Macaca fascicularis: one gene and its partners. The main gene of each other region encodes a partner of the protein of the gene in region 3 in a complex. Links are inferred from orthologs where the notes say so. Each region holds a gene or a part of one and is shown on either strand. Other genes may lie near its edges.

The links.
Region 1: the proteins of CRHR1 (region 3) and UCN are in contact, whole or in part, in a cryo-EM structure (PDB 6PB0), measured with the Homo sapiens proteins. The link is inferred for Macaca fascicularis from reciprocal best matches to the Homo sapiens genes CRHR1 and UCN. Residues at the interface, in NP_004373.2 of Homo sapiens: Leu106, Asn107, Glu109, Lys113, His117, Val120, Asn123, Trp169, Val172, Gln173, Ser177, Pro178, His181, Gln182, Thr192, Tyr195, Asn196, His199, Phe203, Phe260, Gly261, Lys262, Pro264, Tyr270, Tyr272, Gln273, Met276, Ile277, Tyr327, Phe330; in NP_003344.1 of Homo sapiens: Asn84, Pro85, Ser86, Leu87, Ser88, Ile89, Asp90, Leu91, Thr92, Phe93, His94, Leu95, Leu96, Arg97, Leu99, Leu100, Glu101, Leu102, Ala103, Arg104, Thr105, Gln106, Gln108, Arg109.
Region 2: the proteins of CRHR1 (region 3) and CRH are in contact, whole or in part, in a cryo-EM structure (PDB 6P9X), measured with the Homo sapiens proteins. The link is inferred for Macaca fascicularis from reciprocal best matches to the Homo sapiens genes CRHR1 and CRH. Residues at the interface, in NP_004373.2 of Homo sapiens: Lys113, Tyr116, His117, Ala119, Val120, Asn123, Trp169, Val172, Gln173, Met176, Ser177, Pro178, His181, Thr192, Tyr195, Asn196, His199, Phe203, Phe260, Gly261, Lys262, Tyr267, Tyr272, Gln273, Met276, Ile277, Leu280, Tyr327, Phe330, Phe331; in NP_000747.1 of Homo sapiens: Glu156, Pro157, Pro158, Ile159, Ser160, Leu161, Asp162, Leu163, Thr164, Phe165, His166, Leu167, Leu168, Arg169, Glu170, Leu172, Met174, Arg176.
Region 4: the proteins of CRHR1 (region 3) and GNAS are in contact, whole or in part, in a cryo-EM structure (PDB 6P9X), measured with the Homo sapiens proteins. The link is inferred for Macaca fascicularis from reciprocal best matches to the Homo sapiens genes CRHR1 and GNAS. Residues at the interface, in NP_004373.2 of Homo sapiens: Arg151, His155, Tyr212, Leu213, Ala216, Ile217, Leu219, Thr220, Tyr221, Asp224, Arg227, Ile290, Ile293, Leu294, Lys297, Leu298, Ala300, Ser301, Lys311, Lys314, Ala315, Val318, Leu319, Leu322, Phe362, Tyr363, Asn367, Ser368, Glu369; in NP_000507.1 of Homo sapiens: Gln35, Arg38, Ala39, His41, Val217, Phe219, Phe376, Cys379, Arg380, Asp381, Ile383, Gln384, Arg385, His387, Leu388, Gln390, Tyr391, Glu392, Leu393, Leu394.

Annotation. Positions count from the first base shown.
Region 1 is NC_088387.1:94,908,279-94,915,440, reverse strand, and holds UCN (urocortin), read right to left. Parts: upstream 3,483-7,162; 5' UTR 3,391-3,482; exon of another isoform or gene 3,141-3,390; 5' UTR 3,128-3,140; coding exon 2,753-3,127; 3' UTR 2,633-2,752; downstream 1-2,632. Other genes in the region: TRIM54 (tripartite motif-containing protein 54), read left to right, coding at 223-318, 849-1,082, 1,344-1,366, 1,478-1,602, 1,723-1,814; mitochondrial inner membrane protein Mpv17, read right to left, coding at 5,101-5,170. UniProt on the Homo sapiens protein: Acts in vitro to stimulate the secretion of adrenocorticotropic hormone (ACTH). Binds with high affinity to CRF receptor types 1, 2-alpha, and 2-beta. Plays a role in the establishment of normal hearing thresholds.
Region 2 is NC_088382.1:76,163,091-76,171,113, forward strand, and holds CRH (corticoliberin), read right to left. Parts: upstream 4,231-8,023; 5' UTR 4,059-4,230; intron 3,307-4,058; 5' UTR 3,293-3,306; coding exon 2,702-3,292; 3' UTR 2,204-2,701; downstream 1-2,203. Other genes in the region: TRIM55 (tripartite motif-containing protein 55), read left to right, coding at 273-395. UniProt on the Homo sapiens protein: Hormone regulating the release of corticotropin from pituitary gland. Induces NLRP6 in intestinal epithelial cells, hence may influence gut microbiota profile.
Region 3 is NC_088390.1:67,413,653-67,421,464, forward strand, and holds part of CRHR1 (corticotropin-releasing factor receptor 1), read left to right. Parts: intron 1-3,490; coding exon 3,491-3,597; intron 3,598-3,836; coding exon 3,837-3,923; intron 3,924-4,353; coding exon 4,354-4,474; intron 4,475-4,682; coding exon 4,683-4,836; intron 4,837-5,148; coding exon 5,149-5,209; intron 5,210-7,407; coding exon 7,408-7,480; intron 7,481-7,730; coding exon 7,731-7,812.
Region 4 is NC_088384.1:114,906,099-114,910,330, reverse strand, and holds the start of GNAS (guanine nucleotide-binding protein G(s) subunit alpha isoforms XLas), read right to left. Parts: upstream 2,801-4,232; 5' UTR 2,267-2,800; coding exon 136-2,266; intron 1-135. UniProt on the Homo sapiens protein: Guanine nucleotide-binding proteins (G proteins) function as transducers in numerous signaling pathways controlled by G protein-coupled receptors (GPCRs).

The DNA of each region.
Region 1 (7,162 bases), on a different chromosome or scaffold from region 3:
CCTTCCCCACTTAGTGGTGGAGGGCTTCTCTCCACCTCCTTCCAGAATCCCTAGAATGTGCTTTTGTACCTTTTGATGGTTCAAACCTTCTAGATTGCTGTAGATGCCCTCATGGGGGGTGGGGTGGAGGGGCCAGCCCTCTCCTAGGCAACCCTGGCTGGGGTGAGGGGTATAGCTCTAGGTGAGGTCCCAGCTCTAAGTGCTAACCTGTGTGTGTATCAGAGTGAGCTCAGCGATGGCATCGCGATGCTAGTGGCAGGCAATGACCGTGTGCAAGCAGTCATCACGCAGATGGAGGAGGTGTGCCAGACCATTGAGGTGAGCCTGGGCTGGAGGGCAGGGGGAACAGCAACTGGCTGGCCTGCGGACCCCGGGCTCCCAAGAGAACTGCTCCTCTCTGACCTCTGGCCAAACTGGTCCAAAAGTTTCTGGGGTCCTGGGAGTGGTGGGAGGTGCTTTTGCCAGGCTGCTGGGTGCTCATTCCAGCTTTTCCGCAAAACTTTAATCCAATTATTTAACTTCTCTGTGCTTTGGTTTTGTTTAACCTCATAAAACAGTGATGATGATAAATGGTACACCAGCTACCTCATGGGTTCTTTTTGAGAATTATATGGAATAATGCAAATAAAAACCAGGGCTAGGGATATAGACAACACTCAGTGAAGCTACTTTAAAGTATTGTGTTTTTATTATGGAAAAGATCTGGGCTGGATTCTGGCTCAGCCACTAACGCACAGTGTCACTATGGGTGGGTCACTTTCTGTGTTGGTTCTCTGTGAGTATCCTGTGCTTTCCCAGCCACCGGGTCTCAGCCACGCCTTCCCTCATCCTTGCTCCCCATCTTTTAGGACAATAGCCGGAGGCAGAAGCAGTTGTTAAACCAGAGGTTTGAGAGCCTGTGCGCAGTGCTGGAGGAGCGCAAGGGCGAGCTGCTGCAGGCGCTGGCCCGGGAGCAAGAGGAGAAGCTGCAGCGCGTCCGCGGCCTCATCCGTCAGTATGGCGACCACCTGGAGGCCTCCTCTAAGCTGGTGGAGTCCGCCATTCAGTCCATGGAAGAGCCACAGATGGCGCTCTACCTCCAGGTGGGCCCTAGGGGAGGGTAGCAGTGCCGCACAGTGGCTAGAGTCGGGGCCTTGGTACCTGGAGACCCAGGTTCAAGTCTTGTCTCTTGCACCTGTTTGCCACTACGACCGTGGGCAAGTCACCCCCTCTGAGTTCATTTTCTACTTAACGATTGGGATGTGCCTTCCCACCTACCCCACAGGACTGTGGTGAGACTCAGAAATGGGACTTTGCCCGGGTTGGCCCGGTGCTTACTCTCACCCTCCTTTTCTTCCCTGCAGCAGGCCAAGGAGCTGATCAATAAGTGAGTAGGCACAGCGGGAAGGGAAAGGAGGGGGCTGGGCTGCTCCACTGGCTGGGGGCGGGGCTTGAGGGTGCTGGGGCATTGCCAGCTGAGTCCGTGTGGCCACCGCAGGGTCGGGGCCATGTCGAAGGTGGAGCTGGCAGGGCGGCCGGAGCCAGGCTATGAGAGCATGGAGCAATTCACCGTGAGCGTGGAACACGTGGCCGAAATGCTGCGGACCATCGACTTCCAGCCGGGTGAGGGAGGTGGCCGAGGGCCGCTGGGACTGGGGTTCGGACCCTCTGTGTGGGAGGTGAGGAGGGCACGATGGCCGGAAAGGCAGGGACTCCACCTCACCAGGCCTTCCTTGGGCCCAGGCGCTTCCGGGGAGGAAGAAGATGAGGAGGTGGCCCTGGACGGAGACGAGGGCAGCGCGGGGCCGGAGGAAGAGCGGCCGGATGGGCCTTAAGGTGAGAGCGGCCCGAGGGGCTTGGGGTGGGGCCTGGCTGGTGTGCTCGCGTCCCCTCCCCCAGTGATTGTCCTCCCTGCGGGTCGCATGAAGCCCCCATTCGTCGGTGCCACCCAACCCCGGAGCCACAAAGGGCGGAAAAATACACTTTCCTCCTCACCCGCCGTTCCTCGGGGTGCTGGGAGGCAGGCAAGGCAGGCTGAGTAGAGGAGAAACCCACGTGGCGGAGGACGGAGTGAGCGGGGCTCGAGCTGCCTGGCGCCTTCGCAGCACCAGCCCACCGAGCCTTCTTTCCCGGGTACAGGCCTGCGCCAACCCGACCCTGCTCGAGCGCCCGCGCTAGGGTCGGGGAGGATCTGCGCAGAGACCGCGGCATCGCCCAAATCGGCGCCCGCCCCAGGAGGATCTCAATAAAGAACTCGAGCGTCCCCGACCCGTATCTCCTTTCGCTGCCCAATGCCGCAGCCTCGGCTTCGGAGGCGACCCGCCCACCATCCTGCCCTTCCCAGAACCTGAGACTATCCGGGGGGCGGAAGCCAAATGAACCCCTATTGGGCACCTCTGTGATGCCAGGAGCGAAATGGTGAGCCCAGCGCCCTGGGAAAAGGGTCGAGGGCGGGGCGGTGGTGCTGGGACCTCTGAGGTCCTAGGGATTTGGGGACCCCTGGAGTTCAAAGGCACCTGGCTGACCTGGCTGAAAGCCGCTCTCCTGGAGCCCCCCACAGCATTTTGTTCCCCTCCCGCTGGCCCGGGGGCCCCACCTTCCCACGGGCTCCCACGCTGCTGTGACTGCCCTGCCCCCACGACAGAAGCCAACGGGTCTTCAGTACTTTTATTAAAAAATAGTCAAGCAGAGAGTGCCCTGGTGGCTCTGCCCCGCATCCCAACCCTGGGGTGGGGGAAAGGGGTCAAAGTTTTCGCGGCCACAAACCGGGCCGTCACTTGCCCACCGAGTCGAATATGATGCGGTTCTGCTCGGCGCGCTCCCGCTGGCTCTGCGTCCGCGCCAGCTCCAGCAGGGTCCGCAGCAGGTGAAAGGTGAGGTCAATGGACAGAGGAGGGTTGTCCCGCCGCGGCCGCTCGCCTGCCGTCCCGGGTTCCCATCGGCTGGACCCTGCGCGGCGCGAGAAGCGCTCTGCCAGCAGCAAGAGGAGCGCGCGGGCCCCGCCGCCCTGGTTCCGTGCCCCGGGGCTCCAGCGCAGACTCGGGTCCTGGACCCCGGCCGCCTCGGGGCTCCTCTGGCTGTTCCCAGGGCACAGCTGTAGCAGGAGCAGCAGCGCGGCCAGCAGCGCCGCGCGCCCCGCCTGCCTCATGGTGCCGCCGGCCCTGGACACACAGGGGCAGCGCAGGGTGAGGTGCGCCTGGGGCAGCTGCAGGAGGCCGCTCCCCTCCCTGCGCTCGCCCGGCGACCCTTCCGGTAGCCGCCCAATGCCCGCAGCCTGCCCTCCAGCCCCGGCTACTGCGCCAGTGCTGTTCCATCCCTTCCACCCAGCTTCCCTCCCGAAGGAGCGCGGTGGCTGAGCTGAGTGGAGTCCTGGTGCTGGGGGAGGCTGGGTGGACGCTCTGAGCCACTCACAGGTTGTCGGCGAATGTTTGTACGGTCCAAGATTGAGCTCCAGTCTCTGTCCCTCGGGGCGGGCCGAAGGCGCCTTGGGGAACACAGGGTCTGTCCCGGGACTGCCGCCAGCCTTATATAGCGACAGGACAGCTCCGACTGACGTCAGCGAAGAACATGCACTGATTGTAGAAGCAATGACAGCCACAGCTTCGAGTCTGGCGGCTGGCGGGCCCCGGAAGGGCACACCTCCCGACATGAGCCTTCGTCTCCCTGGGGCTAGCGCTGGAAGCAGCACTGGACGCAGGAGAGCGAGAAGCTGGCTGGGGCGAAAGGACTGCTCTGGGACCCACGGGAGTCCCTCGCCCTGCTTAGAACCGCCAGCAGTGACTAGGGCCGTCACCAGACCAGACTAGTCCGGGTCGCGTGTTCTGACACACGAAAGGGAGGCGGGACCGTGGGGGCTGTCCATGGTGCTGACCTCGTCCTGCGCCTCTAGAAGTGGCTAGAGATGATGTGAGAACGCTGTACTGCTGCAAACCACTGCCTCGTGGCAGCTATCAGTTCTGCAAATGCAGGTATCAGGAGTCCACCGCTGGCACTCAGCCAACACAGTGGGTCCCATTGAGAGGCAGTCTTCCACAACCAAAGTCTCCCAGCATTCTCATCTTTTTCCAGCCCCAGGATCCAAATTCTAGGGCTGTCTCACACAGGCACCATGTAACAGAGGGTCTCTGGCCTCCAAGTGCGTTCAGACCACAAATATGGCCCATCTGCTTTTGAGTTTGTCCAAAGTGGTAGTTTAGCAAAGTTCCGTTTCTCTCCTGGGAATCATAGCAGCAGTATTACTCTGCCCATGAGTAGTAAAGAAATATGGGTTCAAGTTTCTGCTAACTCCTGGTGTGGGCAGGTCACCTCCCTTCTACCAACCTCAGGGTTCTCAGTTGTAGAAGACTGGGCTTGGCCAGGCGTGGTGGCTCACGCCTGTAATCCCAACACTTTGGGAGGCCGAGGCAGGTAGATCACGAGGTCAGTAGATCGAGATCAGCCTGGCCAATATGGCAAAACCCCATCTCTACTAAAAATACAAAAATTAGCTGGGCATGGCGGTGCGCACCTATAGTCCCAGCTCCTCAGAAGAATCACCTGAACCCAGGAGGCGGAAGCTGCAGTAAGCCGAGATAGCGCCATTGCACTCCAGCCTGGGAGACAGAGCGAGACTCCATCTCAAAAAAAAAAAAAAAAAAAAAGATTGGGCTTGGTGGTCTCTTGGCTTCTTTCCAGCTCTAGAAATGACTCCCCATTACCACTGCAGATTCCGGATGACACATTTAATAACATATTTACTGAGGCATCATATAAAGGGTTCCGGGGGTCTCTGAAGAGCTGGAGCTACAAGGCTAGGCAGGGTTAGAGTAACAAATGTGTCTATGAAGAGTGGGGATGAGTGGCATTTGCTGGGATATGTGTGTAAAGTTGATAAGGTCATGAAAGTTCAACAGATATTTATGGAGTGCCTAGTATGTGGTGGGAATAAGACTATTATCAAGGGCTCTAAAGCAGTCAGTGCACATTTTAGAGTGAAGGGAGCATTGCAGGGTGCTAGTCCTCTTAAGTTCTGACTGGCAACCCAACCCTGTGGAAACTAGTGTGCCCACTTTAGGAAGTTGTCTGACCGTTCCAGGGCCAAGCTGCATCACTGCAAGGTGGAAACGATGAAGTGAGGCCGGCTTAGAGCCGATGTGCCTTCCAGGACAGGTAGGAGTTCCAGATAACAGCAACACATTGGACAACGGCCAACCTAAGGAACAAGAATAACACGGTGAAGAGGAGGAAAGCTAAGCAGTGAGCAAGGGCTGGAGATGAGAGTGTGAAATGGAAAAGGAGGGATCATGTCAGAAGATTGGCAGGTTTAGGTCTCTTTCCTTCAGCGCCTTTTTTTTTTTTTGAGATGGAGTCTCCTCTGTCGCCCAGGCTGGAGTGCAGTAGTGCGATCTTGGCTCACTGCCTCCCGGGTTCAATCAATTCTCCTACCTCAGCCTCCCAAGTAGCTGGGACTACAGGTGTGCTCCACCACACCTGGCTAATTTTTGTATTTTTAGTAGAGACAGGGTTTCACCATGCTGGCCAGGCTGGTCTCAAACTCCTGACCTCAAGTGATCTACCCACCTCGGCCTCCCAAAGTGCTGGGATTACAGGTGTGAGCCACCGCACCCAGCCCCTTCAGTGCCCTGTGAAGGGCCTGTGTGGCTTGGACTAAAGGACAACTGGCTCAAATTCTAGTGCCATCCCAGAGCTCTGTTTCCTTCCTCAAAGGCTAAATATTTAGCGGCTCTCTTGCCACATGTAGCTCTGTTAATCACAGAAAGGGCCCCTATCTGTCCTGTACCAGCTGAGATTTCATCTTCCAAAATGTACGGACTACCATACAAAGTAGCATCTTTTTGTTTTAAATTAACCTTGCTCTGGTTTCAAAGAGTGTTGCAAAGGACCCTAATGTTTAAGATTTGGTTCATAAGTCTGTATTCCTTTTTTTTTTTTTTTTTTTTTTGAGACGGAGTCTCACGCTGTTGCCCAGGCTGGAGTGCAGTGGCGCGATCTCGGCTCACTGCAAGCTCCGCCTCCTGGGTTCACGCCATTCTCCTGCCTCAGCCTCCTGAGTAGCTAGGACTACAGGCGCCCGCCACCGCGCCCGGCTAATTTTTTGTATTTTTAGTAGAGATGGGGTTTCACTGTGGTCTCGATCTCCTGACCTTGTGATCTGCCCGCCTCGGCCTCCCAAAGTGCTGGGATTACAGGCTTGAGCCACCGCGCCCGGCCTGTATTCCTTTTTTGTTTTCTGTTTTTTTTTTTTGGAAATGGAGTCTCACTCTGTTGCCCAGGCTGGAGTGTGGTGGTGCGATCTTGGCTCACTGCAACCTCTGCCTCCCAGGTTCAAGCAATTCTCCTGCCTCAGCCTCCCGAGTAGCTGGGACTACAGGCACCTGCTACCACGCCCAGCTAATTTTTGTATTTTTAGTAGAGACAGGGTTTCACCATATTGGTCAGGCTGGTCTCGAATTCCTGACCTTGTGATCTGCCCGCCCCAGCCTCCCAAAGTGTTGGGATTACAGGCGTGAGCCACTGCGCCCAGCCTTTTTTTTTTTTTTTTTTTTTGAGACAGGGTCTCACTCTGTCACCAGGGTCTGAAATGCAGTGGCACAATCTTGGCTCACAGCAACCTCCATCTCTCGGGCTCAAGTGATCCTCCCACCTCAGCCTCCCAAGTAGCTGGGACTACAGGCATATGTTACCATGTGCCTGGCTAATTTTTTGTATTTTCTGTAGAGATGAGGTCTCACTATATTGCCTAGGCTGGTGTCAAACTCCTAGACCCTAGCAAACCTCTCGCCTCAGCCTCCCAAAGTGCTAGAATTGCAGGTGTGAGCCACCATGCCCAGCCAGTCTGTATTCATTTTAGCTATGTTATTCATGTACATTTTGGTCATGTTCCCCCTTATTTTCCCCTGTTCCCACAATCCCTCACCTCCAAGCATTTGAACCACACATCTTCAGTTCCACTATTTTTTTGGGTGCAGTTCAGCAACTGTCTTTATCATGAGTGTCTGGCCAGGCTTCTACTTGGCTTTCTGGTCTACCTCTCTGTCTAACCTAGGCTGCAGCACCCCAGCCACTGTCCCTCCAGATACGCCATCAAAGGCGGAGCCCCAGGTGGGATGGAGACAAGGGTGGTAGAAGCAGGATCCTCCCTAGGGAGATGAAGAAGGTCAGTGGGCAGACACTCTGGACGGTT
Region 2 (8,023 bases), on a different chromosome or scaffold from region 3:
GAACTCCTTTTTCCCAAGAACTTCTCTTCACTGCATGCATTACTGTTCCTTCTTTTTGTATCATAAGGGTGAATTATTTTCATGACTCTTGGCTGTAGCCAAAATAATCTGAGCTTGCTTTCCATTTCTAATGATTATGTCCCATATAATAATATTGTTATTATAATAATAATTGTTATTATTATACTTTCTCCTCAGTAGAAAAGTGACTGGACCAATCCAAAATTAACAAATCTCTTTTTTTCTCTGATTCCCATTTTCTTCCGTTGCAGATTGGATTTGAGGCTCCTCCCCTCCAGGGACAGGCTGCAGCTCCAGCGAGTGGCAGTGGAGCTGATTCTGAGCCAGCTCGCCATATCTTCTCCTTTTCCTGGTTGAACTCCCTAAATGAATGATATTCATTCCAACTGCTGCCCCTCTGTCTGCCTGGCTGAGATGCATGTGGGCAGCAGGAAGCCCAAGTGAAATTAATATTATGCAAATGATGAAAGGGACCTCTGAACAGGATTTCTGCAAAAATAACCCAAAACTGTAATTCCAGATGACTTATCTAACATATTCGGGGGAGAGAATATTTTGAGAAAATAGTTGCAGAAAGCACTGGAAATAATAAACTTGATCTTATGCAAATCTTTTATTGTGTGGGAAACATTGTGAAGGGTGTGTAAGTGTGGTATATGTGTATGTCAGTCACAAGTGGCAAATGGTGAAAAAAGTGGTCACTATGCTCTTGTCTCTCATAGGCGCTGGCTTTTTGTTATTATATTATAGTAGTTCTCATTTCCTTTACTCTTTAACAGTGCAGGTGGTCAGTGAAAATCAGTGTCAACTCAGAAGTGACTGATTTATCAATACATGGACAAAAAGTAAATCATTGACCAAAGCTATGAAATGTTTCACAAAGTTTTCCTCTTTTGCGTAACAGATATCACTGGATGTACATTCAGAAATGTTCTTTGAATCTGGTGACACTTTCATGGTCCAGAAAGCTGAAGGCCTGGGCATCTCTTATGACATTTTTCTAATATTAGTTTTAGATTTTCATATATTAGGCACTTTAATTGAAAAAGATCTTCCAGCAAGAGCTGTCTACTTTCTCTTGTATTCACTGTGGCACCAATCTGGTAAATTGTAGAACAATTGCATGTATTTAAATATATATACAAACATATCACACACTAAACATATATATATATATATTTAAATCATGCTTTGTTAATATTTGTCCCACCATAATGCCTCCTTCAGAACGTAAGTGTAACTTTACTCTATATGAACTCTTAAATAAATGATGTTTTTAAAAGCTTTGTCTTATAATGATTTATTCAATGTTATGTATTATCTTATTCATTTATTAGTTAAGTGTATTTCAAAGGTCCCAGGATAAGATGCATCTTCATACAAATTAATTTTGAAGTATTAAATATTTGATTGAATTGTTTAAAGCTATAACTAAACTACCAAAGGCAAATGCACTGTAAAACTAATTAAATGTGCTGTTCAGTTTTAGAAATGAATAAAGGTAGTTCATGTTCCTAAGAATAAAAGTGGGTAGGGTTGGCCTAGGCATAAATGTGGAGGATATTTGTGTAATTATTAAAGTCAAAATGTTCTTCATAAGAAAATTTTTCCTATGTGACATTTTATAATGACTAAATTTAGTCATCTTAAGTGGAGATGCTATTAAGTTTCTCTTATTAGAAGTAGTAATTGGAAAATAGCTTACAAAAAACTGTTTCATGGTACCAAAGTAGTAGTTTGACAGAGTGAGTCTTTCTCATAGAAAAAGAATGCAGCATTTTGGTCATATAGTTTGGAGGAATTTCTACCTTGACACTTCCCTTTTCCTTTCATCTTTTCCCCACTCTCTCCAATTATTTCACATCTTTTAATTGATCAGGGCTAAATGTTATTTCCATTATAAAATGATCTTCCCTTTTAGAATTACCATGATTTAGAGCTGCTGGGAGCAACTTCCTGAATTATTAACTCAACCTCAGAGAAGTAGTCCATGGCACAGAGATGAGCCCAACGTGATTGCAGGGTCTGTGTAAGCCACTGATATATGTTTGCATTTTTAGTGGAAAAGTACAATGCAGGAAGTTTTGTTTTTCTTTTCTGGTGCTGAAGACAATTTGGAGGAAGCTAAGAGATGAGAGTATTTCCAGTGTATGAGCACTGAAGAGAAAAAATAAAGTCATGATTACCTTTGCAGCTTTTATTAAAAATATAAATATTCAACATTCTCTTACACAACCAAACTGACCAAGGACTGGAAAGATGTTTTATTACTGAAACGTTTACAAGAAAAAGTTGTTTCAAAGAGCTTACAGATTTAGTCTTACCCACCCAAGAGAATGGCATTCTCTTTGGTTCAAACCACAACAAAAACAATTGGGTGACTTCTGTCTGCTTTTTCAAACAAAACGTTTTCTCACTGGTCTACATTCTCTTTAAAACACCACTAAAAACACCTGGAAACGGAAACTAAACGTAGACAAAACGAATAACATTGTGTTGTTACTGCACATGAATACACTTTGTGCATGCTAAGTAAGGGGTATAGGCTCTCTCCCTCTCTCCCTCTATGTTTCAAGCTATATAAAAATAAACAAATGGCGTAAGAGCAGCGCTATGGTACAGAATACTGTATTTTTTTTTTTGTGCTAAATGCAGAATCTTTTTGGCCAAACGCACCGTTTCATTTCCCAATAATCTCCATGAGTTTCCTGTTGCTGTGAGCTTGCTGCGCTAACTGCTCGGCCCTGGCCATTTCCAAGACTTCCCGGAGGAGGTGGAAGGTGAGATCCAGGGAGATGGGAGGCTCCTCGGACCGCCTCTCCCTCTCCGTTGCCTCCTGGTGGCCGCCGAGGGCGTTCTCGGCGCCGCGCTCAGCGAGAGCCGCGGGGCTGTCGAGCGAGCGCCGAGGCAGCAGCAGCTGCTGCAGCAACACGCGGAAAAAGTTGGCGGCCGCCTGCTCCGGCGAAGGGCGGCTGCCGCTGCCGCCGGCGAGGAGCGAGGAGGCGGGCGAAAGGGGAGCGGCAGGGCTCTTGTTGAGGTTCCCCAAGCGGAGGAAGTACTCCTCTCCCATGCGGAGCAGGACCGGCCGAGCCTGCGGCTGCTGGGGCTGCTCGGACTGCGGCGGCGGCTGGAAGAAATCCAAGGGCTGAGGGTACTGCGGCGCCTGCCGGGCTCCCGGGACCGGCCCGCGGCTCAGGAGCGCCCTGCATGGCGGGCAGGGCAGGAGAGCCACCAGCAGGACGCCCGCGGACACGAGCAGCGGCAGCCGCATGTTAGGGGCACTCGCTGCGGCACAGAGGTGGGCGGAGGGCGGAATGAGAGAGGGGAAGAGAGAAAGAAAGAGTTGGTGAGAGTTCGCTCAACTGGGAGGTGCACACGAGGTCCTCCTACCGGACTACCTTAGACGTGCTGGCTTCAGTGGTTAGGGTGGGCGCTGTCCGCGGTGCTGAAACACCTGGGGAGCGGGGAAGGGGGTGCCTGCTGGGCTCCGCACCTAAGCTCAAGCGCTCGCCGGCCAGGAGTGACCCTTCTTTCTAGACTCTGAAGGGACGGTCCCTGCGTCCTCTTCCTAATGATCCTCAAAACTAATTTTCCCGAGCCTAGGGAAGAGCCACAGATTTAAGATTCTACCCGCGCTGACTACCTCCCTTTCGGATATTTCAGCATTTTCTTCCAAATTGATTAACTCCTGCCTCCTGGTCCTCCCTCTCCACCCCTGCCCTTGCTGCTTTCTCTCGGGGGTTAGGATAGAAGGGGGTGGGGGAGCTCCTTTACACAGCCAGCTAGGAGCAACTGGCAGCACGGGTAAAGAAGAGCAGCCGTCTAAGTTTGCTTTTGCCACATCCCAGCTACTATTGTAATCTTAAGGAACAGTCCGCGAACACACACACGCACGCACGCGCGCATACACACACACACACACGCACACACACATGCATACACACGTACACAGGCAGTGGCAGCCGGCCCTGCGGCGCACATCGCGGCAGCTCAGGCAACGCAAAGTTGGTGGTGTGTTCCGTCCAGGCGCTCCCTACCTTCCCAGGCGCTTTGCAGGTGAGCCGGGTGCTGCCGCCTCTCTGCAGAGGGACGTCTCCGGGGCTTTCTCTGGAGGTTGTCTTCCTTTCTCTTTTCTGTTCCCACTCTCTTTTTCTTTCTCTCCTCTCTTTCCCCTCAGTCTCTCAATGGACTTGGTCTCCGAGTTTCTCCACTCCAGAGCCTGGAGTGGGATTTTATAGTGTCGACCCTCTTCAAAAACCACGCAGCATTTGCCTAATAAGCTGACGCTCTCTTGACAGCTCGATTGCGTGCTGCCTCTGCTCCTGCATAAATCATAGGGCCCTGCCAAGGAACGAGGGGCAGAATTTTGCTATCTCAACACTGAATCTCACATCCAATTATATCAACAGATATTTATCGCCTCTTGGTGACGTCAACTAGCCCTAAAATGGAAGGGCTTCTTATGACTTGTCCATTGACAAAAATTCTTGAATGAGATTTCCCAAGTGTGAAAACATATTGACCTCTTACTATGAAAGGCCATATTAGGGGTGTGCAAAGAGACAGCGAATAGGAGGAAGAAGGGGAAGTGGGAAGGAAGGGAGGTGTCCCAGTGCAGACCTGCCAGGAAAGCAGCAGCCAGTTAGAGGGAGTGGATTTGGATGCCCCTTCTCCTAACCTCCCTGACCAGGTGTCTCTGACAACACCTCAGTATCTGGAAATATCCCTTTGCTAGGGACAGAGTCCCACCATCTTTCTGCCTGGAAAAGAATGAAGCATCAGGAGAAGGGTGTGCAGGAACATCTAGCTTTTAAACGTCTATCTGCATTTTCCTCCCAAGAGCAAGCACATAAAGGAGTTATGAGCCTGAGGAAGCAAGGCCAATAAGTCTCTTAAAATTCAGTTGAAGTTTTTAAAATGATGACAAGAGCTACTCCTATGGTGAAGGAGCACAAACCAGGGTTAGTAAGGGGTGTGACAAAGATTTTAGGTTCTCTCAGAAACTCTCTGCTCCTCCTTTGTCTCTCTTCTCACAATCTAAAATTAATTGTGGACTCCCTTTTCTATTCCCAAATTAAAGAGAGAGAAGGCCAGTGAGAGATGCATGAGTTAAACAAGATTTACTTATTCTACTTAATGCAAACTCAGTGAGAGGTGTCCATTCTAACGTCCTAATCTATGTTGAAAAGGCTTAAACTGCTTGACCACAGGGCTAAATTCATCAGTTACATGTTTTCATTGATCAATATTGAGTCTGTAAAAAGTAATCTCATTCATTTCGCCTCCAAATACTATCAACATCCATAATAGTATCCATATCTGGGCCACCCAGGGTGGTTCTTTTTAATCATTTCTTTTTCCGAATGCAAATGTTCTTCATGTGAGCCTGTTAAATAAATAAATGCTCTCTGACGTATCGCCGAATGGAATGGAATGCTAAGCCTGTAAAACTATACTCAATTTTTGAATTAATTGACACTATCATATAGGTGGGAGGCAGTTACCTTTAATTCTGCAATTCAAAATGCAATTCCAAGTTCTTGTGCCTGTGATTCAATTCAGCTTCCAGATAACCATCAAAGTTGTTTATCAGAAACTTCCTGCTCCTCATTTCTGATTACTTCTGCTGCTTCCTTTGTAGCTAATGTGACAAATGATGCAATGCATGTTTCAACTTCCACTTTGGGTCTATACCAATCCACAACTGCTCTTAGGAACAAAGGGAAGGCAGGGAGAGAAATGCTGACAGTTTGCAGAGAAGCCAGCCCATAGTTGGATCACTGCACCATGTTATGTACTTTTGACACAAGAGAACAGAGAAAGAAATGTGCCTACTTGGAAAGATGTGAGTTGTTAATAGATCATGATTATGGAAAATGGTTGAGTTTCTGGGAGCAAGCTGTGTTTTATATTGGTAGGAAAACACACAGAACCTCAGATTTTGTTATTGTGGGCTTTTTTGTTGTTGTTGTTAAGCTGGAATGGGTTCAACATTTTTGCTTACTTTCCTTTATGACCTGTTTTCTGACCCCGTTAGCAGATTTCGGCTTGAATGTCAAGCTGGAGGTGAAACATTGACTTGGAATAGGCAGTTTCAGTGCAGTAAATGGATACAGAAGAGAAACTAGGAAAGGGATGTGGTTATGAGTTTAGCTGGGGAGGTCTGGGAGGTTCTTCCAGAGAAGACACAAGTTTTGGGCTCTGACTAACCCCATTCCCATACCAATCTCTCTCCCATTGGGCTATCTGGGGGATGTTGTTTTAGTATAGCTCCCTCCTCACTGTTGAGTCCTTGCTGTGAGGTTCTCTTGGGGTATGTCATTAATAGAGCCAAAGTGGCTCCAACTAGGGAGTAAGGAAAAAAATGTTCGTGAAGCCCAGAGGAGGAGAAGCTATGCACAGCAGCCTCTACATGCCACAATTTATCTGTATTTGTCTGTTCTCACACTGCTAATAAAGACATACCAGAGACTGGGTAATTTATAAAGGAAAGTGGTTTAATTGACTCACATTATCACATGGTAGGGGAGGCCTCACAATCAAGGCAAAAGGCAATGGAGAAGCAAAGGCACATCTTACATGGTGGCAGGCAAGAGAGAGCATGTGGAAGAGAACTCCCTTTTCTAAAACCATCAGATCTGATGAGACTTATTTACTATCACAAGAACAGCATGGGAAAGACCCACCCTTATGATTCAGTTACCTTCCACCAGGTCCCTCCCACAACACGTGGGAATTATGGGGGCTACAATTCAAGATGAGATTTGGGTGGGGACACAACCTAACCGTATCATTATCCAAAATGTATATCTCATTAAATCACCCAGTGTTCACATTAGAAATGACTTAAAGAGATCACTCGGTTTAAATGAGAACCAGAGAATTAAGTGACTTACCTGAAGTCACTCAGCTAGTTAGTGGTAAGGTGAGAATTAGGACTCAGTTCTTTTGATTACCAGCCCATATTATTTGCATAATGTAATGATAAGCTTTGGACTTTCTTTTCCAGCAGAGCACACAAATTTAGGTGAAAAGATGAATTTTAAAACATTTTAGAGCTAGAATCTCACTTTCTTGCCCAGGCTGAAGGCACCATGATAGCTCACTGCAGCCTAGAACTCCAGGGCTCAAGTGATCCTCAGACTCCTGAGCAGCTGGAATTATAGGCATCAATCACCATGCCTGGCCTGAGAAGATGCATTTAAATAAAGTAATATATTCACAGACCAATTGTGGAGTAGCTTCTTATACATTTTCCTTATTTGATAAACTAAGGCATGAGAATGCAGAAATTCTCTGTGCATGCGCATGTCTGTGGCACCTGATTTTCAATGTGTGTGCATACATTGCAATTTACTTTTCAGTATTACCAAATTAAAATGCATTAATTTGATTATTCTGCCTAGGTGACCTTTGAAAAAAGTGATCTTTGGATACAGTATGGAGGGTGAAAGGGATTCTTAAAATTATAATATAGATCTATGATTTGAGAAATAACATAATGCAGATAACTTAAATGTGCAGTAAACCAAATATCCAAATCCATAGAAATCACCCCTAACAGATCTGATCTTACATGTAGGAATAACTTCTGGAAAGGAGTCATTGGAGAATCAATTTAAATGCTTTTAGAACCTAAAAACACAATCCAAGAAACATGGGCACAAAAACAGGGATTACTTTATGTTTTAAGTCTTTTTTTTAATGGTTACATAATATACAGTATAGGTAAATTAAAACAGACCCGACACAACAGTCTAATAAAGAAATACCAGAAATAATAGGTAACTGGTGGGCATATTTTTGTCACTTGCATCACCTTATACCTTCACAAGCTTCTATTAGCATAGCTCGTGGCAAAAAAACACCATCTCCAAGTTGGCTAACAGAAACATTTGTTGAAATAAATCTACCATTTCCAATGACAGCCTTCAGAAATGCCTAGGGTGGACAGGTGGTTTGGTAATTGTTTATAACTGTTCTTTACATAGATTAAGTAACT
Region 3 (7,812 bases):
TCCTCTGGGTGCTGCTGCTGGGCCAGGGGCTGCCCTTTGAGGACTGAGGGACTGGAGTGAGTGCCCGCGGTGGGGTAAGAGGAGTAGCTCTGGCAACTTCAGTGGAGAGGAGGTGCCAGAATGGAGTGGGCACCGGCGGGAGCTTGGAAGGGAGGTCTCATTGCCACCATCCCAGAGAGGCATCGGGACGGGTCTGGCACTGCAGCACCTGGGACGAGGTGGTGTCAGAGTCAGCCGCGCACTAATTGCTTATTCAATTCAGGTCACTGAGGGTACAGCGGAGTGGCCTCTGCCAAGTAGCATGCTGTGCCACCCTCCTTAGGGCGGGGTGCCTGCTGGTCTCAGGTCTCCAGACTGGACGGAGAGGGAGTGCTGGTCAGGGCCCCAGGGGTAGCTGTGCCCATTTGTCCTTTGGACATCCCAGCTGCTTTGCTGTTATCGTGGCCGTCGGTCGGTGTGTGACTGGCTGTCCCTGGGGGTGCTGCTGACTCTCCTCTCCAGGTGTCACTGGCCACCTCTCAGGGTGTTTCTAGGTGCCTTTTAAGGCCTTGCTGTCTCTCTAAATAATGCTGTCCAGAACTCTGGTTGTTATTGGAAATGTCACAGTGTCACTGGCTTCTGTCTGGGTGACGCAGGACGTATTTGTCTCAGGGTATCGGCAGCCATCCCTCAGGCTGTCTCTCCAGCTGTCTTCTCAAGCTGTTTCTCAGGTTGCATCATGCTGATGTGACCAATAAGAGAGAGGGCTTGAACCTGGCCTGGGCCCGACTGCTCAGGGAGCCACGCTGAGACACTCTGTCCTCCGGGAATGGTTTCGCCCGATTCTCCCTCTCAGGCTCTTGGGGAAAAGCCCTCATGGGTGCTATCCTCCTGGCAGGAGGTCCCCCGAGGCTCCTGGGCCCAAAATGGAGCGAGACCACCCCAGAGAGTGCCTCTGCTTTCAATTCCTGCTTGTCCCCCCAGAAATCTCCCAGGGGGCTGGGGACGGTGGCTCTCGCCTGTAATCCCAGCACTTTGGGAGGCCAAGGCAGGTGGATTGCCTGAGCTCAGGAGTTCGAGACCAGCCTGGACAACATGGCGAAAACCCATCTCTACCAAAAAATACAAAATATTAGCTGGGCGTGGTGGCGCATGCCTGTGATCCCAGCTACTCAGGAGGCTGAGGCAGGAGAATCACTTGAACCCAGGAAGCAGAGGCTGCAGTGAGCCAAGATCCTGCCACTGCACAACTCCAGACTGGGCGACAGAGTGAGACTCCATCCCTCCCCCACCCAAAAAAAGAAATGTCCCTGGGAAACCAGGAAAAGAGGGATTTCAAAGCCAGGCAGACTCAGGTTCCAGATGCCGGCTGCATGGCGTGGCCAATTATTCAGTCTCTTCAACGGGAAGAACTGGGATGAGAGGAGCAGTCTCCAAGGGCAGCTGTGGGAAAGAAAAGCAGTGGCATCTGCAGAGCTCTTGGCACAATGCTCAGCATACAGCAGGTGCTTAATAGATGACTCCTCCCCACTCCAACCCCAAGGGCCTGGTGCGGCCTGACTCAGGAGCGAGGTGGGGCCTGGCAGGTGGCAGTGAATGGTCTGCCTGCACACTGTGCCCTCCCGCCCAGCCTGGGCCTGTGAACAAGGCCGGGGTGTCATGCCATGCTCGGCTCCACACATGCTGTCATTACCCAGGGGCTTTTCAGCATGGATTTGTGGAAAATTTAATAAAAGGATATTAAATACCAGCTCCAGACAGCCTGTGATCCGTGCATATCTTCCGGAGCCTCCGGATTGGGGCATCTGCCGCCAGGCGCTTAGAGACCCCCCCACTTGCATGGGTGATGGGTCCCCTCTCCTCACTCCCCTGTGTCTCTCTCCTGCCTTTGTTTACACCTCCCTGGATCCCAGTCCTTTGGAGGCTGGAGTTGTTAATGTAATTTCCTGCCATGTTCCAGAAAGCCTCTGCCTGGAAACCAGCTCTGAGAACAGAGCTTCTGTAGGAGCCTCCGGACCTAAGAGGTTCCCGATGAGGATGCCCCTTCAGAAGGGCCTTGGTGGCCGGGCGGAACTGGGCATAGGGTCTTGGCTCCTCCTGGAATGCCTGGTGGATAGGGCTGGACTTGACCTCTGGTTTCGTGTGGGTTCTGTAATTCCAACAGGAAGGCCTGTGGAGTAGCTCCTTGGTGGCTCTGAGAGGATGATGAGGGCCGTTGTGAGCTCCCCACTTCTCGGCGCTTGCATGTCACCCGCTTCTGTGCCTCATGATCATTCAGCCCCACCCCAGAGCCTGGAAACGGGGAGGGAGGGAGGTGCTGCCAGGGACCCCTCCTTTCCCAAAGCCACCTGCTTTTCAACACCTGTCTTTCTTTCCTTCACTCACACAACTGCTTCGGAGTTCGACTGCGTGTCAAGCTCTTGGTTTCTAGGCCCTGCTTCTTGGGACCTATAAAAGTGTGGATGGGGGCTTTGCTCTGGGGCAGGAGTCTGCAGAGAGCTAGGCATGGGGACTGGCCAGTCCCCTATTATGGGCTGGGGACCTGTTTGCAGCCTTTGTACCTTGCCAGTCTGCACGTGCAGGCAAGAGGTGGTTTTGAAGTTGCGCGACCTCCAGTGCGTCAACATAACCTCTGTGCTGTTTTCCTACAAACTAAAGCCCAGAAGCCCTTCCGGCTCCCCCTATGGGGTTGCCCTGATGGTTTCAGACGATAACAGATATGAAAATCCTCTGTAAATGGGAAGGCTTCATCACTCTTGGAACTTAAGATTGCTGTAAAGAGGAGGGCAGTGACCTCCATCAGTATATTAAATTCATTAGGAAATAAACCCGGGAAATGTGTTCCAGTCCTGGGAGAGGATCCTGTTCACTTTGCACAGATCCCCTTGGGCCAGGGATGGGGAAGGCCCTGGAAAGTGAGTTATGGAGCCTAAGGAGACTGTTCTGTGCTTTCGGCTGATTCTGTGGATGCCAGAGCCCAGCAGCTGTCCGGCCCCTCCTCGCTCACAGGAGCAGGCGGCGTTGCAGCAGGAGGGATTCAAGGGCGGCCGAGACGGTAGTGACTCAGTTCAGAAATGGGTGGAGAAGATAAATCCCGGGAGGTTGGTGTCTCTGCAGCTGAGAGGTCCACCTGGTGTTCCGACCGGGTGGCAGCATGGGCAGATGCGACTGTGAGGGCGCACCTGTGAGCCGGCCACACACGCTTATGCGTGCAGAGGGGGCGTCCGTGTGGAGTGGGGAATCCCACGTGATGTGGAGACTCAGACACAACACAGAGCAGTGAACAGAGCATGGGATTCAGGGACAGACAGAGCCTCAAACTGGACAGCATTGCTCTGCAGCGAGGCCTGACCCACAGCAGGTACTCAGGAAGGGGGAGTGGCCCTTGAGATCATGACCTGCTCCGTCCCAGCCACCCCCAGGCAATGTCCTCATAGAGCGGCTCCCATCCAGCAGGCGCAAGGGCATGGCTGTGCAGAAAGCTCACCTCTGCCCCTCTCTCCTGCTCCAGAAAAAAAGCAAGGTGCACTACCATGTCGCAGTCATCATCAACTACCTGGGCCACTGTATCTCCCTGGTGGCCCTCCTGGTGGCCTTTGTCCTCTTCCTGCGGCTCAGGTGAGCAGACCCCAGCACTGCGTCCTCTTGTCCCCCGGCCCTAGAGCAGGAGCAGGGTGGAGAAGTGAGAGGAGCAGCTCGAGGTCGGGGTGGGGGTTGCTGGGAGAGGGTGGTAGGGCCTGGCTTATCTGAGAGTCTCAGGTCTCCGGGAACCTCTGGCAGGGCCGCTTTGCCCCCTCCGCAGTAGCTGCTGGAATGGTGGGGAGGGACAAAGCTTGTTTTATGTCACCCACACCCAGGACGGGCTGCACCCATTGGGGTGACCAGGCAGATGGTGCCCTGGAGGTGGGGGCTCCATGGAGTGGTGACCCATTTCAGGTTCGAAAGTACATGGGCCCCAGCACTACCGCCAAGGATGCAGGTGGCAGAGCCAGGGATGGGGATGGTTGGGATCAGGAGCCGAGCATCAGGGCTGGAGGCTGGGAGCAAGGCTGACCCCTGTGACTGTCCATCCTGGAATGGCAGGGAGTGGAAGGCACCCCCAGGGGAAGCAGGCATCCCCAGGAAGCCAGCTGCCCTGGTCCATGGAGTGCCAGGCAGAGCCTGGGGCTTTTGTCTGGGTGGGTTGCAGGCAGGAAGGGCTCCATGGGGCATTAGGAGAGCCTTGCTGTCACTTCCCTGTGTGACTTGGCCAGTCAGCCCTACCCTGTGCCTCAGTTTCCTCATCTACACATCTGGGTTGGGGTGATGTGGGTGGCCTGCCCCTTATCCTCTCTCTCCTGTCGCTCCCATCATCCACCTGCCCTGCTGCACCAGGAGCATCCGGTGCCTGCGAAACATCATCCACTGGAACCTCATCTCCGCCTTCATCCTGCGCAACGCCACCTGGTTCGTGGTGCAGCTAACCATGAGCCCTGAGGTCCACCAGAGCAACGTGGTGCGTCCTGGCGGGGGAGCGGGGAGCAGGTCAGGCCAAACCCACGTCAGAGAAGGGGCCCAGGTGGGCCTGCCCTGCAGAGGAGGAGCCCACAGAACAGGAGTGGGATCCCAGGGTGTGCCCCGTCCTGCCTGGGGGAGGCCCAGGGCCAGGGTTTGGTGCCACCCCTGCCCCTCATCATCATCTTTGGTTGGGGGTGGGGTGGCAGGTCTGGTGCAGGTTGGTGACCGCCGCCTACAACTACTTCCATGTGACCAACTTCTTCTGGATGTTCGGTGAGGGCTGCTACCTGCACACAGCCATCGTGCTCACCTACTCCACCGACCGGCTGCGCAAGTGGATGTTCATCTGCATCGGCTGGGGTGAGCTGGGCAGCCACCTCCCCAGCCTGGGCAGTGGCAGCCACCGTGCTGCCGTCTCCTCACCCAGACTCAGGCCAGAGGGCTGGGGGGCCTGAGGGATGGAGGTCGGGTTGGGGCAGTGGGGTGTGTGCCATAGCCCTCTGCTCCTCTTGGGGGTGGGGGGCAGCAGGAGCACCTTGAAGGAGGTGTGTGAGTTTGAGATCCACCCTGGGTAACCCTAGACCGCCTGGAGCCTGGGCTGCACTGGGGTCCTCCAGGCCCACATTCCCCAGCCCCCGCTGAGGGCTCTGTGACAGCCCATCTCTCCCCCAGGTGTGCCCTTCCCCATCATTGTGGCCTGGGCCATTGGGAAGCTGTACTACGACAATGAGAAGTAAGTCACCTCCTTTCCCTTCCTGCCCCCAAGGTTTAGGCTCCCAGCCTAGCTTGGTGACACTCCCAAGGGCCTTGGGCCATGCTGGCTTTCCCCTCAGGACCATGGCTTCTGCATCTGTAAAGGGAGGGATCTGGGGGGTTGGACTCATTCAGAGGGTCCCTGCCTGTGCTCTGCCTGGGTGGGACTGGACAAACAGGATCCAGCCTCCTTTATCTGCCTTGAGCTTACACAGGAAGCAGCCTGGAGCCAGACTGCCCAGGTTCAGAATCGTGGCTCCGTCATTAAATAGCTGTGTGACCTTGGACGGATTACTGCAGCGTGCCTCAGTTTCCTCATCTATAAAATGGACATACTTCCTCAAAGGGCTGTTGTGGGGTGATATCAGTCCATCTATATTAAGCATTTAGAATCGGACCTGGCACATAGAGCAAATGCTGTATAAATGTGTTCTCGTAATATTAAGACATCTTAATAGAAGAGTCCGTGAATTTAACAGAAGTGGACCTAGATGATCCCAGAGGCTTCTTCCAGCTCTGAAGTTCTTTGGTTCCTTATGAAACGGACTCAGGTGTTTCCAGTCGTGCCTGGAAACTTGATTTCTGCTGCAGTGGTGCTCAGCCTTGGCTCACATTAGAATCACCTGGGATGCTTCGAAAAGTACCAGTGCCCAGGCTTCACCGCCAGAGAGTCAGGTGTAATTAGTCTGGGGTGTGGCCTGGCACCCAGAATTCTTGAAAACTGCCCAGGTGATTCTAATGTGCAGCTAAGATTGAGAACCACTGAGAGAGGGGGGGGCAGAAAAGGTGGACGTGGATGGCAGGGGAGCCCCAGGACCTTGTTTGCCAAACAGGTGTTCCCAGGAACCTATCTGACTGACTGACCTGGCGTCCAAGTGGCCTCCACCACAGTGACAAGCCCTCTCCTCACCCCACGGAGGGGAGGGGGCCTGCATGGCTTCATTGGGCTGACGAAGGAGCCTGGAAGATTATCTTGCGTGTTTAGGAGGTTGACTCTCTCCTGACTCAGGCTAGCTGAGGCCTTGGGAGGCCGAGGCGGGTGGATCACTTGAGGTCAGGAGTTTGAGACCAGGCTGGCCAACATGGTGAAACCCCATATCTATTAAAAAAAAATACAAAAATTAGCTGGGTGTGGTGGTGCGCACCTGTAGTGCCAGCTACTTGGGAAGGCTGAGGCAAGAGACTCTCTTGAACCCAGGAGGCAGAGGTTGCAGTGAGCCAAGATCGTGCCACTGCTCTCCAGCCTGGGCAACAGAGCAAGACTCCACAAGCCTCAAAAAACAAAGCAAAACAAAAACTGTTTGGGCTAAAGGAGAAAGTGAGTCTGAGCGGCTCTGAAGCCCCACCTGGTGGTGAAAATTCAACACTGCAACAGAGGGGATCTGGGTGTGAGAAAGCAGAAACGAACTTGCAGACCAGAGGCTCAAGGACTGGACCCAGCCCACAGAAGCTGTGTGTGGCCGGCAGGGTGTTTTCTGGAAACTCGATTTTGTAGCCAAGCTTTAAAAAATCCAAAGGTTTCGTATACAAATCTCAATTTCTGGCTTATGAGATCTAGCCACTGGGGGTCTTCTTACCCACGGGGACATAAGGGCTTCCAGTTTGTCTGGTCCCCACCCACTCCCCAGGCCTCCCTGGAGCTTGCTGGAGGGACACTCAGGAAAATGCAAAGCAATTACCCCCTGCAGCAGGTAGAACCTGTGCAGATGTTCCTCTCAAGGTCGTTCGGGCTGCGATTGGACAGGTTCAGGCTGAGATTGAGAACTGCTGGGTGCCCACTGGGTGACACGTGTGGTACCACTCCCACCAGCAGCCCCCCAGAGGACATGCTGGGCCTCAGCCACAGCCAGGGGACCGTGAGGAGGAGCCAAGGATGCAGCTTGCGTATTGAGCTCACGCCCATTCCCGGCCACGCAGTCTTTCCCACTGTCTGCCTCCTGCCCCGATGCTTGCTTCCAACTTTGCATCTCATCACAGAGGATGCTGTCCATTCTGCAGATGGGACAACTGAGGCTTGGCAGTGGGATCAAGTGACTTGACCTTCTGCCAGGGTTGGAATTGGGACATCTACCTCCTGGCTTCCAGCCCCAGTCCTATCCTGGCCAAGCACTGTCCCTCCCCATGCCACCGAGGCAGATGCAGATGATGACTCCTCCCCTTTCCTCTGTGGCCTTCTAGGTGCTGGTTTGGCAAAAGGCCTGGGGTGTACACCGACTATATCTACCAGGGCCCCATGATCCTGGTCCTGCTGGTAAGACCCTGGGTAGGGGCAGGAGACAGGGCCCAGTGGGGAGGGGCGATCAATGCCAACCGTGGACAGAAAGGACCCCTCTGCCTAGAGGTGGGGGCCACCCAAGGAGGGGGCATGGGCCAGGGATGTGCAGCTGCTCCTGAGGAGGAGGGAGAACAGCAGGAGCACTGAGGCCAGAGAGGCCAGAACTGAGAAGCCTGGGTCCCCAGCCTCTTGCACACTCCAGCCTGCTGGTGTGCTCAAATTGCAGATCAATTTCATCTTCCTTTTCAATATCGTCCGCATCCTCATGACCAAGCTCCGGGCATCCACCACGTCTGAGACCATTCAGT
Region 4 (4,232 bases), on a different chromosome or scaffold from region 3:
CTAGCAAGCTCTTCCCGCCTTTGGCTGGATCCCCTCCTCCCACTGTCGAGCCCCGAGCCCCAGCAGGCAGCCCTGCCACCCCCTACCCAGTTCCCCGGCGGCCCTGCTGCCCGCAGGCAGAGTCCGCCGCATTACCTAGAAGCAGCAGGCGGTGCGTACACATGTAGCCCATCTTTTCGTCCTGGAGTTGTTTGTCGATGAGCTTGCTGCGTTTCTTCTCTGCGCGCTTCTGGGCCCGCTTCTCCAGGGCTTCTTTGCGCATCTGTCTGCGCTTCTCCACCAGGGGTACCTTCTTGACCTTGGAGGAGTGCGAGGCTTTGGGCTGGGGACTCTCAGATCGACCGAAGCAGCCCCCGAAGGCTTGCATGAGGAAGTTGCGGAGTAAGTTGCGCTGGGGCTTTCGGCGGCGGCGATTTCGCCGATGCTGAAACCAGCGGATGCATCCGAAGGTCCCATCGTCGGACTCGTCTCCGCTGGAGTCATCGTCGCTGCTGGCCGCCCCTTCATCGTAGTACACGCGGCGGCCGCAGCTGCGCTCGGACTTGCCCCGCCAGGCAGACGCGCGAGCAGGCCGCGGAGTAGGCGGATCGGCAGCCTGGATCTCGGGGCTGGGGGGTCTAAGGTGATGGAGCTTGCGTCTGGCCCCGGAGGCAGGGGCTGCCGAGGCCGCCCGGGCGGCTTGGGCTGCCCGGGTGGCAGAAGCGGCTGGGGCAGTGGGAGCCCCGGCGTCAGGCGCAGCTGGGGCGACATGGGCTGCCCGGGTCTCAGCAGCCGCAGGGGCCGCGGGAACCTCAGGGGCTGCCCCGGCATCTGGATCGGCTGGGGCGTCAGGGGCTGCCCCGGCATCTGGAACCGCTGGGGCGTCAGGGGCCGCCCCGGAGTCGGGATCGGCCGGGGCGTCAGGGGCCGCCCCGGAGTCGGGATCGGCCGGGGCGTCAGGGGCCGCCCCGGAGTCGGGATCGGCCGGGGCGTCAGGGGCCGCCCCGGAGTCGGGATCGGCCGGGGCGGCAGGGGCTGCCCCGGAGTCGGGATCTTCTGGGGCTGCCCCGGAGTCGGGATCCGCTGGGGCTGCACGGGCTGCCCCGGTGGCGGTATCCGTTGAAGCTGCCCCGGCGGCAGGGGATCCGTACCCCGGAGAGGGGACTTTTCCTCCCTCCGCGGCATCAGCGGCTGTGCTTCCTTCCATCTCTGCTGCTTCCTCCTCAACTGGGGGTCTCTCTGCTCGCTCTCTCTTATCTGGGGCTCCGGAGACCTCGATGGGCGGGCCGTCAAGCGCGATTGGGGGGCTGTCCATGTTGACGGGAGCGTCGTCGACCCCAGCGGGGGCGCTGCCAATCTCGAGCGGGGGTCCGGAGATCTCCAACGGGGGGCCGCTGCCCGTGAAGTTAGGAGGAGGTCTGACAGCCTCTCGGGATGGGCTGCCGATGGCGCCTGGGACCCAGAGGGGAGGCGCGTTCGCGGCGGGAGTGAGGCGGACCGCACTCGAGGCCGCGACTGCCGCGAACTGGCCACCGCGGTCAACTTGTGCGATAACTCGGGAAAGCCCCGGGGGTGGGCTGTCGTCCCCAGATCCTTCTCCATCAAGCTCAAATGGCATAGTCTCCTCAGGGGGAGGGCTGTAGCCTCCTCTGGAGCCAGTCTTTGGAGGCCTGAGGGCTTGGGGCTCCTCGGGAGGAGCTCCGGGGACCCCTGCAGCACCTGGGCCTCCTGGAGCAAGGTCTGGGACCTGTAAGAGAGGTTGACTGCAGCCTGTCTTGGCAGGCTGGTCAAACTCAAAGGGCATAGCTTCTTCTGGTGGAGGGCTGTATCCTCCCAGGCCTGGTCTGGCACCACTGAAGGCTCCAGGTTCCACGAATGCTGGGCCGAAGGCCTCAAGGCCTGCATGGGCCCCACTGGGGGATCCAGGCTGCTCCAGTGTAGGCCAGAAGCCTCCCAAGCTGGGCTGTTCGACCTCGAAGGGCATTGCTTCCTCAGGAGGTGGGCTGTAGCTTCCATGGGCTCCAGCTTCCCTGAATGCCGGGTTGAGGACCTGAAAGTTGGGCCTGGAGACCTCTGGGGGTCCACAGGCCTCGCTGTCATTCTTGATGGGGATGGGCTCGTTGTGAGGCGGTTCGGTCTCCATCTCTTCGGCTGGGCTAGGCCCAGCACCGGGGGCAGCTGCCCCTGGGGCCTCCAAAGATGGTTGATCGGGCTGTTCCCCGATTTCAGGGGGGATATCGCGTTGTCCTGACATATTATTGCCGTGGAGGCAGTTGCGCACGCCCATAACAGGGTGGCGGCCTCTCAAAATAAGTTTGGGGCTCCGTAAGACGGAGCACCCAACCGAACTAGGGTGAAAAAATTATTATTGTTATTTTTAAATCAAAGTACCAGCTGGAAAGTTCACCAGCCTCACTTTCCAACCCTTGTGAGGTTGGGGGGCTTCAAGGCCTGGAACCCTAGACTGAGGCTGAAGCAACTCAATTGTTGCTGGTGGAGTCTTGGCTCCTTTCTGGCCACTTTTTATCCCCTCAGTATGCCCCCCAGCCCCTCTTCCTTGGTCTGTCCTTATGCCCTCCTCTCTCTTTCTTTCTCCTCCAGGCCAGTCCCGCCTGCTTGGATCTGACGAGCGTGCCGATTCGGTCCGAAAATCGCCAGTAGCGCTCTCTCGCTGCCACCAGAGGACGCCGGTTCCAGTGCCGAGCTGGCTCCAGCTCCAGAATCCTGCTCCTCGCGCCGCGGCCCGGGACTTTGGGTAAGGGGGCTGACGAGCGCAGGCCTCGCAGGGACGTTTTGGCTCCTTCCACTCCTCTCCCTGACTGATTTGGAATCTTTCTCCTCGCTTCTCCCCTGGCCAGAGAAAGCTCTCCTGCGTTGCGGGACACGTGACGCAAGACGTGGGCCTCGGGACGCTGGAGTACAGGAGCTGAAATCCTCCCTCCCCAACCCAACCGACTCCTCGGGGGAGGGGGGACTGAAGAAGGGTTTCATCACCCCAGGATACCCCTGAAACACTGAGTCATAGCCCCCAGCCTCCAGGCAGCTCCGGATCTCAAGCCCCTAGTCCAGAGCGCAAGGCTTTTGGTGCCTGAGAAGGGGCACAGGCATGCGTGGGGATGCGACAGGTGGTCGTGAGCCCACCAGAGAAGCAGAGAGAGACGAGGGAGAGGGGATGCCGAGTATGCGAGCACACAATTTGTTTTTTAAATGCCTTGGGTGTACTTTTTACTGCTTTTGTTTGTTGCTTGCTGAGGTTGGCTCCGGTAAAGCACTTTAACAGCCCCCACCCTCATCACACTCTAGGGGTCTCCGCAGTGGCCCACGCAGCGCAAGCAGGGTGCTCCCTTGTTTATGTGGATGGTGACGCAGGGGAATAAGAAGGTCTCGGGTGCGTACCACCAAGAGCAAAGCCCCCTAGGCAGTAGCTGCGGTGGCACCGATGGAGGGGTGGGGGGCGTGCTGCGCAGAGGGGGACCCCACAAAGCGGCCGCAGAGTTTCGCAGGTCCTGCGGTTCTAGGGAAGGGTTAAAGGGGATTTTGGTTGGCGTTTATGGCCGGTTTAGGGTGATTTCGAGAGTGGACAACGCTGTGGGCACTGAACCCACAGATAAACACCATGCCGCGCGGCAACCGCAGCTGAGGTGCGCTGCTCGCTGCTTCGGGTGCCGGCCGCAGCACCGGTCAGTCTGCTCCTTTAGCCCCACTACAGCCTGTCTCCAGCACCCTTCCAGCCCCTCTCCTCTCGCTATGGGTATCTTAGGGTAGTCGCTTTAGTTTTCCACTGCTAGAGCCTACTGAGGCGGCACTGAGCCCGCCAACCGGCCACAAACCCGGCGGTTGCCCGCGCAGCTGCGCTCCCGCTACCATGCTGCGGTGGGCTCAGAGCTAGCCAAAGGTAAATACCCAAACCACCTGGTGACCTTGGTGTGTGCACATGCTATGCTCTGGTCTGGGGTCTGCAGAGGGATTTGAGCCCGGGAGAAAAGCTGCTGTTAGGGGGTCACGTAAAACCCGGCAGGTGCGCATCAGGTCGGTCTCACCAGTAAGACAGATTGGTGAACCACGTCTAGGCACAGAGCAGCTGGGCAGGAGGCAGGGGGTCACCTGACCTGCAGAGTCCTGCGGGAGGAGAGGCTGGATGAGCGTTACACAGGGCGGGCTGCAGCAAGCAGGGCGCACAGCACGGGCTGCTGTATGGGAGCTGCAGGCGGGCGAACCACTGCACGGTGCGATACCGTCTAGTCTAACGCATC